3 linked regions of the Ovis aries genome follow. The protein of the gene in region 1 interacts with the protein of each later gene in a pairwise test. Links are inferred from orthologs where the notes say so. Each region holds a gene or a part of one and is shown in the gene's direction. Other genes may lie near its edges. The genes, in order: KLHL41, NRAP and RCHY1.

Region 1 (2,936 bases):
AGAAACTGGAGATCCCCAGAGAGGAAAGACTCAGCAAGGGGGTGAGATGGGTAAACACTGGAAGTGGCAGAAAAAAAGGATGAAATAATGGAGGGCTGGAAAGGTTTGGGTTTTTGAAAAACAGGGATAATTCTTGCTTGGAAAACAAGAATAGGCAGTGATTCTCAACTCTAACATAGGCATCAGCTAATTTTAAAATTATTTTAAATCTCATTCACTCATCACAGAATGATTTGGGGGTATTTCCTATGTGCCAAGTATTGATAGCTTCTGGAGAAGGGAAGATACTAAAGTGAATAAAATACATGTAACTTTGAGCTTGTTGAGGACATAAATATAAAAACATTAAAATAGGATGATAATTGTTATCATCAATGGATACCATATAAAGAACACCGTAAGAAATGAAGACAAAACAAACTGCTTCAGGAAGGCGAGAAGGGCTTCAGAGAGAAGGCAATGTTGAGGAATTTCTCATGCAGAGATGGCATTTCAAGCACCAGGCACCAGGCAAAGGAAAAGGGTCTCAAAGGGACTCAAGTTGTCTGTGTCTTCATGACCCTGAATATTCAGAGAGGGTGACCAGTTCTTACCTAAGGTCCAGTGCAAAGTCTAAGAGCAGCACTCACACAGGACAGTAAAGGGGAAGAGCAAGTTTCTTACAGAGTGACCCCTAGTGTCAGTGCCTTGCATCACACTGGTGTATGGCTACAGCTGAAATCAGAATCAAGGCGACTTAATTGTCTCTGCTCTTCCCAGTTCTTACTCTTTGCTGACCTGGATTCATGGGGACCAGCCATCTTTAGCAGTCCAGAGGTGAAGGATTAATTGCCTGTTACTTATCATCACTGGACAGTCTTTGATTCCCAGAGAAGGTTTAACTGACTAAGCATCCAGATCAAATACCGTGGCAATAATTTGGGTATATGCTCAGAGAATGCACATTTTTGGAGGAATTCAAGGGTTAGTCTAAGAGTCAGGTGCATCTTCCTCTGGGTAAGATCAAATGGGTTTTTCTCAGAGAAATATTTAATACCAGGAGATCTATAGAACTGTCTACTTTAAAACAACTTATTACATTCTTTTTCTCCATCAGGTATGAAGACGATAAAAAAGAATGGGCTGGGATGCTGAAGGAAATACGTTATGCTTCAGGAGCTAGTTGCCTAGCAACACGGTTAAATCTCTTCAAACTGTCTAAGCTATAAACAAGAAGGTGAAAAAATATAATAGATAGGGAGGTGGTCTGTTTGGATAATAGGGCCTTAATTTATTGTTTTTAAAAAGCCTATACAGAGATTCCATGTAGAAATTATCTACTTTGTTATTGTCCAAGAGATTAGCAGTGGGCATCAAAACCTCAAAGTTACTGAATTTTCAATGTAATAATCAGAGCTTAAAAAAATAATAAATGTTAAATTGAACAGATTATTTCTCTTGTTAATCTGTCTCAATCAATTATAAAGGAGCTTCCTAAATTTGAGTTTATTAATCCTTTCATTTGCATTGTTAAGGTGCCTTTACACTCCTTTTTCTATTACAAATGAAACTGGAGAATGAAATATGTACATTTACATAAAACAAATTTTTAATAGCAAAAACCTTTCCTCATGCTTCAAGATATTACAAGAACCCTGTGCAGTATATTAAAGATTATATGCTGTGAGAAGACTTTGGAAACGGAATAAATGGATTTCATTTGAAAGGGAAAAGTCTCTAAGCAAAAATAGTCAAATTCAAGTTTTCTTTCTTTTCTCCCCTTTCTTTATGCAACACTGGTATATTGTGATTTAAATCAAATTTTAAATTAAAAACCAGTAAATCACAGTCTTCAAGTCCTTAACTGCAGTACCTGTAGGTTGGGAGGCAATCTTAGGAAAAGGATTGATTCCTTAAATGCTGGGGCAGAATTTGGGGCCAGCAGGTGGTATGGAGAAAGGTGTGTATTCATTGCTTTGAGTTTTATCTATACTTTAAAGAGCTACCTATTTGCAAATTTCTGATAGAAAGAAGGATGACTGTATTATTCTATTTTCTGGGATGTAAAACCCTACATTGAAATTGTTTGTTCTTAGCATACATAGCAAGATGACATCTCAGTCTGTCCAAAACCATTACATTCTACTGTCTGCAAGTCATGAACTTAATCATGGCATATGGGTCTCATGTGCTTTCACAGACATGTTTGACTTCTAGCCTTATCTGTGTTATTTTCTGAGAGGCCTGAATTGGAACTGACTTGGAGTATTCCATTATTACTTGTTAAGCAACTGCATAAAAATATGAATGTTCATATTTATAAAATAAAGCTATAGCTTTATTTTCTGCATCATAAATATGGAAATATTCAATAAAATTTAGTCTTACTATGGATCTCTGAAGTATAATCTTGAGTACTTTTCTATATTGAACTGCACCCTGAGTATACAATCAGCAAATCCCAAAGGTGGGCAACTACAGGTTATTTAGCAGATAAATTGTTAAGAAGGAGAGATGCTAATAGATTAAGACAGACTTAAAAACTGGGGTAGGAGGGACTTCCCTGGCAGTCCAGTGGTTAGGACTCTGCACTTCCAGTGCAGGGGTCTGGGGTTCGATCCATGGTTGAGGATCTTCCTGAATGCTGCGTGGTGTGGTCAAAAAAATTAAAATGCACAAAAAGAATGTTTTTAAAGATTAGGTAGAGAAAAATACGGTAGGGGTGGGAAATTATGATGTCTAGAGATGCAAACTTGGGTGAGAGAATTATTAAGGGGAAGTCTTTACTATAAGAACATGACGGTGGTGACAGAATTATTAAGGGGAAGTCTACTATAAAAGCATGATAGTGGTTACTTTGTGGGGGAGAGTGCTGATCTATGTAGACATGAGATTAAGTTGTAAAAACAATGCTTTGGGATGATGTTCTAGAATAAATAACTTCTAGAATTAGGTAG
Region 2 (3,658 bases), on another chromosome or scaffold:
TTAGTTCACATCTGTGTGAATATGTGTGTATGTGTGTAAATATGTATGTTTGCATATGGGGAGTGTATATATGTGTGTATGTAGGTGTGAATATGTGTGCACGTGTATACATGGTGTATATACATGTGCGTATATACACGAATGTGTATATACATGCCTGTGTGCACATTTGTGTGTGTGTGGTCTGTGTGTGTGTATATGTGTGTTATCTCTGTGTGTATATGGTGGATGCGTGTTTACATGCATGTGTACATACTTGAATGTGTGTGTGCATGCATGTGTATGCATACGTGTACACACACATGTGCGTCTCTGTGTATATGCATATATGTGTGTACGTGTGCGTGTGCCTGTGTACAGAACAACTGGCTGCTGAGACCCCTTTCTCCTCCTTTCCCACCAGGGGAAAAATCAAGTGGACACTCATGTCCCTTCTAGGCCCCAGATCTTACAACCCCCCTGGGGAATGTTGTGTATTGCATCCTTACTCCCTTTTCTTCTCTGGGAGACTTTGCCAATTGAATAAAAAACAGATTCATAGTGCACGTGCTAAAATTAAAAAAGCAAAGAAAGGGATTCTTCAGTTACAGCGATGAAGGTGAAATGGCATTTGAAGCTGGTCAACATTTTTCTGTTTTTTTAAATATGGCTCTTTGAAAAATAAATACATAAATAAATATTTACTAAGACAGAGTTTCCTGTTTGGTAGGTGTGAATGGAACTTTTAGCAGAATAGAACATCTAGATTCTCTCCTATTCAGAGAATGAACTTTAGCCCTTAATGCTTCCTTATTCCACAAATAACATTTATGGCTTTTTTCCTCTTCCTATTTCCTCCGAATAGTCATGAGCCCTGTGAAAGGTCTCTAGGGAGGCAGGCACCGCCCCCCCCCTCCCCGCTGCCTATACTGTGGGAGAAGGGCAGAAAATACAGATTCCTGTGGACTTTGGTCACGTGATTCTGATTCCTTTAGTCAATGGCTCTAAAGGAGGGCGATTTTGCCCCCTAGGGGATATTTGGTGACATCTGAGGGACTTTTTCTGGTCAAAACTGGGAAGGTAAGAATACTGGTGACATCTAGTGGATAGAGACCACCCATCTTGCTCAGCATCCTGCCGTGAGCTAGACAGGCCGCCCCCAACAAGAAATAAAGTGGCCCCAAATGTCAGTGGAGCTGCTTACAAGAAACTTTGCCATGAGTTTATGTAGTGTTCAAGGTAACTTCTCAATAGCCAAGTGAAAAGGCATGTAAAGATTCCTCAATTTATGTACTTATACACATGTTAGTGCTGCATTAAGGAAGCCCAGACAAAGTGCCCTTGACAGGGAACTAGAATTCCCGGGTTCTAAACCTGGCTTTGCTCACCTGCTGAATGATCTCAGTAAGTTCACTTCTCTTCTCTGAGCTGCTTTCCTCATCTGTAAAATTAATGATTTAGATTTCAACTTGTTTAAGTTGCAGATTTCTGGGCTCCATCTTGGATCTCAAGCATTATGATATCTGGGTTTGAACCTAAGCCCTGATATTTTCTTTTGTGGTTAGTTCTTCTTATGTTCTCCTTGAGAAATCTTTGCCTATTCTGAAATCATGAAAATATGGTTAGATGTCAGTTCTCTTCAAATTGATTGACACAGTCAGTGCAGTCCCAGCCAAAACTCTGGTGTTGTTCATAAAAATAGACAAACTGATTCTAAAATTGATATGAACATACAGTGATTCTAGAATGGCCAAGAAATCTTGAAGAACAAAATCAAAGGACTTAGGTTACCAGGTTTTTAGGCTCCTCTGTCCATGAAATTTTCCAGGCAAGAGTACTGAAGTGGGTTGCCATTCCCTTCTCCAGAGGATCTTCCCCATCCAAGGATCGAACCCAGGTCTCCTACGTGGCAGGTGGATTCTTTACCATCTGAGCCACCAGGGTGCCTCTTGTGGTTGTTAACTCAGTGTAGTATTGGCACTACTGTAGAACTGACAGCTCAGTGGAAAACAATACCAGGTCAAGAAGTAGAGGTGCACACATGTGGTCACCTGAGTTACAACAAAGGCACCGCTGCAATTCAGTGCAGCAAGAATCATCTTTAAATAAATGGTACCTGAGTGACTGGACACTTTACGTAGAAGAGATGGACCTTGACACCTACCTCATACCTATACATAAACACTAACGCAAGGTGTGTTACGGATCAAGATGTGAAAGGTGGAATCATAAAGCATGTTCTCCTACACCTCATGAATTTGAGGAGCCAGCATTGAACAAGCTCCCCGAGTGTTAGGAACCACTGCTCTCACGTCTGGTGTTTTCTAAGCTGAATACTTGGTACTGTGTGATGAGCTTGTAGAGACATTGTCTTTTTATTAGCGCTGCACAATAGAGCTTTGCACACAGTAGGTGCTATCCACGTGCCACTTGGCTGATAGTACAGATGAAGCCGGTGGTGACACTTGACAGTACAGTGTGGCTTGTCATACAGTTACGAAGCTCTGCAGTTGAGACGTAGGATCCGCTCCCCCCACCACCCCCAATTCAGTTCTGTATTGTCTGTTACCTTGCTCGTTTCTGATGGAAACATTGCTGATGACATCTTCACTGTGCAGATCGGTGGCCAGGAGGATGGTGAACGGTTTAAGTCGGTTTTTCACTGGGACATGAAATCCAAGGATGAGGCCGCCGCACCTAACAGGCAACCACTGGTGGATGAGGTGAGGCGAGAGTTAGAAACAGGTTTGGAAGCAGAGAAAAGAATGGCACGTTGTGCAGATGACATGTGTAGTCAGCATTACTTTGCGAGGGAATTGGTTAAGCTTTCTTCTATCCATCTTGTCATTCCAGCTGTCTACAGAAGACCTCCATGGTCTGTTTCCCACATTCTCACGATACTTGGTATTACCAGACAAAAGTTTTGACCTGTATCTTGTTTTTTTCTATTTAAACTTTCCTGATTGAGCGTATTTTCACATATGAATGATCTGACTTTTCAGATCGCCAAAGGATGGTTCTACCCAACCTGTCCAACTTGCCATACCTCCAGCCCGCTTGGCTCCCTATCTCTTCCCCCCAGTTCCAGTCAAATCCATTTCCTCATGGTCTTTCACGTGAAGTCTATCATTGCCCTCATGCTTTTACTCATGGCAGTCCCCACTCTTAGAATTTATTCAACATGTGTGTGGGGTATTTTTTTTTTTTTTGGCCTTTTTAAAATCAGCATGTGTGTATGGAGTATTATATGCCAAGCACTATTCCAGGCTGCTGGAATACATCAGTGCACAAAACAGACAAAAATCTCTGCCTTCATGGAACAGACCTCCTTGAGCAGATGCTTTTCCTTGCCTCTCTGCATCATCTGGTAACCGACCTCATCCCTGGAGGTCCAGCTCAAATTCCTGTCCAAATCAGGGGGCCTCACATGGAGATTGGTTTTTGAAAACTCTCACTGTGTTTATCTTCAATACAGTACATATAATCACCAAACATTTTCTAATCACTGTTTCATATGTTAGTTTTATCTCCCTAGAGAAACCACACATATCTTAAAAGAGGAACTTTGTCTTCTTCTTTTTTGATTTTCTTTTCCTAGTGTTAATTGCTTAATCTAGCACTTGGCACACAACAGGTAGCAGATTTTTGAAGGTTGGCTGAATAATGCTGATTAAGCTCA
Region 3 (3,658 bases), on another chromosome or scaffold:
GAATTTTGTGAAAAATCATCAATATGTAGTTGACTGATATCTGTAAGAGGTATTTATTGTATCATTGCAGTGGCTAAAGATAGTAAGTTTTATCAATAAAAGAATATTAAAAAATTAAGATATATCCATATCATTTAATATTATGTAACTTTGAAGAAGAATAAAGTGGTTCTGTATGTTCTTACATAGAATACTCTCCAAGGAATACTGTTAAGTGAAGAAGAAGTTGCAAAACAGGATAGAATCCATTTGTGTAAAAAATAAAACTCAAAGCGTGTGTATCTGTATGTATGTGTGTATGCAGTTTTATAGAAGAAAAAAATACTTGGAAAGATAGATACCATTCTGTTTGTAGTGCTTGCATTTGGGGAGTGATGTTGGGGAGGTAGGGATTCACCTCATATTCTTCAGTGTGGTTTGAACTTTGTTTATAGTGAATCTGAACTTATATATAATGAGTAACTATGTAATAAAAACATATGTAATCTTTTGTTTTCACATTATTTTTTTAGAATTGGTCCAAAGGAAGATTATTTCCACTGTTTGAAATGTAACTTATGCCTTGCAGTGAATCTCCAAGGGAAGCACAAGGTACGTACTTTAGTTTGTATGATTTAAAAAGTATTATATTTGAAAACAGCTAAAATCCTAATTTGTTTAAAAGCATGCTAACTTTCAGATGTTACTGAGTACTGTCATGTTGCTTTTTATTTTTAAGCAGTATTAAGTAAATGTTCTAAAGTACAGACCTTGGAATATTTGATGTACAGTTCCCTTTTCTTCTCTATAGTGTGTAAGAATACTTAACATCAGTTATTAGTATAACGTCGACAGCCTCTAAATTAGCCTGTGGATTCTTATCATTGGAACTGGTTTTGAGAATAGCTTTTAAAATGTATGGTACAGGAGAAATACAGAGCAGTGTAACCTTTTGTTAATATAGCATTCCTAGATAATCCAGTATTCCTTTTCAATAAAAATATTTTCAACTTGGATGTAGAATTTTGACCTATTGCTTGACCTATTTATATCATGGTCTTAGGTCTTTTAAAAATTATTTTTCATTATTTAGGAGAAAATCTAATAAGCTATCGCTTATAGTACTGATTCTATCCAAGAATTGAGAGAATGGAGAATCTGATGAGGGTGTTTTTAAAAAGATACTAGATAATGAAAAAGTGAAAATTAGTCACACAGTTGTGTCCTACTCTGTGTTCCCATGGACTGTTAGCCTGCCCAGCTCTGTCTGTGGGATTTCCCAGGCAAGAATACTGGAGTGGGTTGCCATTTCCTTCTCCAGGGGATCTTCTGACCCAGGAATCGAACCTGGGTCTCCTGCATTGCAGGCAGATTCTTTACCAGCTGAGCCACGAGAGAAGCCCTGCTAGATCCTAGCTAGCCTAAAATACTGAGGTAGGAAGAGAAACTGAGGTGAATAATGACAATAGGGAGTACAGTGACAAGTGTAAGGGAGAGAGAATGGGGGCTGAATGAAGATGACTCCTGAGGATTTTAGTCCTGGCTTTAAGTACTTTATCAATAGACTGTAGGAGATGGTAAAAGATTGGATCTGGTTTTACAGACTTGAGTTTAGGCTGATTAACTATGCTGTGTTGCCGTTAGATATGCTGTGTTGTCTTTAGAAAACTATATACTCAGTTTCTCTTATGGTATTTTTGTTTTGTTTCTCGGTTATTTTTTTATTGTCTCTGTTAGTAAGTGGTGGTATCATCTACTCAGGTGTTTGCTAAAAAGCCTGGGTATCATTTATGGCTTGATGCTTTCTCTTACCTCTTCACACCTAATCAGACCTTGTCTTGTCAAGTTAAGAACTCAGGAGCACACATATATTTCCATTTCTTGATAGCATGTAATTTAGCTTCTCCAGATCTCAAAGGGATTTCCCAGGTTGTGCAGTGGTAAAGAACCCGCCTGCCAGTGCTCGAGATGCGGGTTCAATCCCTGGGTCAGGAAGATCCCCTGGAGAAGGAAATGGCAACCTACTCCAGTATTCTTGCCTGGAAAATTTTATGGACAGAGGAGCCTGGTGGGCCACAGTCCATGGAGTTACAAAGCCTTGGACATGACTGAGCACACTTGAATGCATGCACAGGCCTCAAATACCTCATCTGTGAAATGGGGTAACTAATTGTATGTGTTTCAGTGTTGTGGAAATTAATTGAGAATAGCAGGTAATGAACTTGACATATGGCATGTAGTAAAATGTCTTTAATATGAACTATTACTATTTATCTGTAAAATGAAAATAATTTGAATAATTAAGATATATTAGGCAATTTCATTGTTTCAGGTAATGTGTAAAGCCTGAAATAGTTGTGAGAGTTAACTGTTCAGTTCTTGTCTGACATATAAGAAACATATTAATGTTCATTATTACATTTAGTAAGTTGGTATTGTTTCTTTTGTTTTTTGTTATTAATGCTGTGGTTATATAATTAACATCTAGTTAAGCTTTTGGTAATTTTAATTTTGCTTTTAAACAGTGTATTGAAAATGTTTCCCGGCAGGATTGTCCAATATGTTTGGAGGTGAGCTTAAAATATTTTTTGCTTTGGAAATAGCCCCTTTTGAATTTAAAATACTGGGTATTTATATTTTATTCATGTAATTAACCACCAACTTTATTTGCTTTTACAGGACATTCACACATCTCGTATTGTTGCTCGTGTCTTGCCATGTGGACATCTTTTACATAAGTAAAGTAACTTTGTTTTTTTTCCTCAAAAATGTTTGGAAATGGTGGAGATACTTTTTGCTTCATTAAAATAATGTTATATTTTCTTTCAGAACGTGTTATGAAGACATGTTGAAAGAGTAAGTGTTTGATGGGATTATAAAAAATTGTTACTGTAAGATGTCTGTTTTTGTTTTTTGTTTTTTTTGCAGGCGAGTGGGGAAGGGAATGGACAAGACTCCCAGTTACTTATACCATATTTGGATATGGTGGATATTTCCTTTGAGATGGGTAGGATAGATGAGTACTGTTAAATTGGGCAAAGCATGTTGGGAGAGAAACACTGGACTTTGCCTTAGTCCTCATGTTTCTATTATGTCATATCTCATTTGCAATTTGAGACAGATACCTTTCATTCCCTGGCTACTAATTGGGGAGCTTGGTGTCTGTTGAGATAGTCATACCATTGTAAAAATAAAAATGCTGAGACATGTTGCCCAAAATTATTAGCTGTTGTATTAGTCCACTATGATGAGCTGCAAAAAAAATCCAAAACTCATACCAAGATTTATCTAATGCTAATTTTGTTGTGGGGAAAGGATGCTAAAGTGAGATGCAGATAGTTAGAGGAAATTGTGTAAATGTATTTTGGTCCTGCAAACTGATGAGCAGAAATTTTAATTTAAGAGCCAGATAGAAGGGAACAGTTTCAGAATTTTTAGAAAGAAAATAACATGATCTGAATAAATTTTAAGGAATACAATCTCTTCTTTGCCTGAATATATTAAGAAATTGAGGCTGTTTAGCTAAAAAGCAGTTTAATTGGTTTTTAAAATATATTACGTATATTCTACAAAGAATATTAAATTCCTCTCCATTTTATAGAACTGAGGAAAAAGAAGTAGGTTTAAAAAATACCCTACGATACAGGATTTAAATGAAAAGGTTTGTGAGATGGTCTTG

What was found.
Region 2: the proteins of KLHL41 (region 1) and NRAP interact in binary tests that used the Homo sapiens proteins (3 or more experiments, as listed by UniProt). The link is inferred for Ovis aries from reciprocal best matches to the Homo sapiens genes KLHL41 and NRAP.
Region 3: the proteins of KLHL41 (region 1) and RCHY1 interact in binary tests that used the Homo sapiens proteins (3 or more experiments, as listed by UniProt). The two-hybrid records come from large-scale screens. The link is inferred for Ovis aries from reciprocal best matches to the Homo sapiens genes KLHL41 and RCHY1.

What each region holds. Positions count from the first base shown.
Region 1 is NC_056055.1:139,969,215-139,972,150, reverse strand, and holds the end of KLHL41 (kelch-like protein 41), read left to right. Parts: intron 1-1,096; coding exon 1,097-1,208; 3' UTR 1,209-2,373; downstream 2,374-2,936. UniProt on the Homo sapiens protein: Involved in skeletal muscle development and differentiation. Regulates proliferation and differentiation of myoblasts and plays a role in myofibril assembly by promoting lateral fusion of adjacent thin fibrils into mature, wide myofibrils.
Region 2 is NC_056075.1:33,668,876-33,672,533, reverse strand, and holds part of NRAP (nebulin-related-anchoring protein), read left to right. Parts: intron 1-2,597; coding exon 2,598-2,702; intron 2,703-3,658. UniProt on the Homo sapiens protein: May be involved in anchoring the terminal actin filaments in the myofibril to the membrane and in transmitting tension from the myofibrils to the extracellular matrix.
Region 3 is NC_056059.1:91,098,757-91,102,414, reverse strand, and holds part of RCHY1 (RING finger and CHY zinc finger domain-containing protein 1), read left to right. Parts: intron 1-512; coding exon 513-591; intron 592-2,504; coding exon 2,505-2,549; intron 2,550-2,658; coding exon 2,659-2,717; intron 2,718-2,808; coding exon 2,809-2,835; intron 2,836-3,658. UniProt on the Homo sapiens protein: E3 ubiquitin-protein ligase that mediates ubiquitination of target proteins, including p53/TP53, TP73, HDAC1 and CDKN1B. Mediates ubiquitination and degradation of p53/TP53; preferentially acts on tetrameric p53/TP53.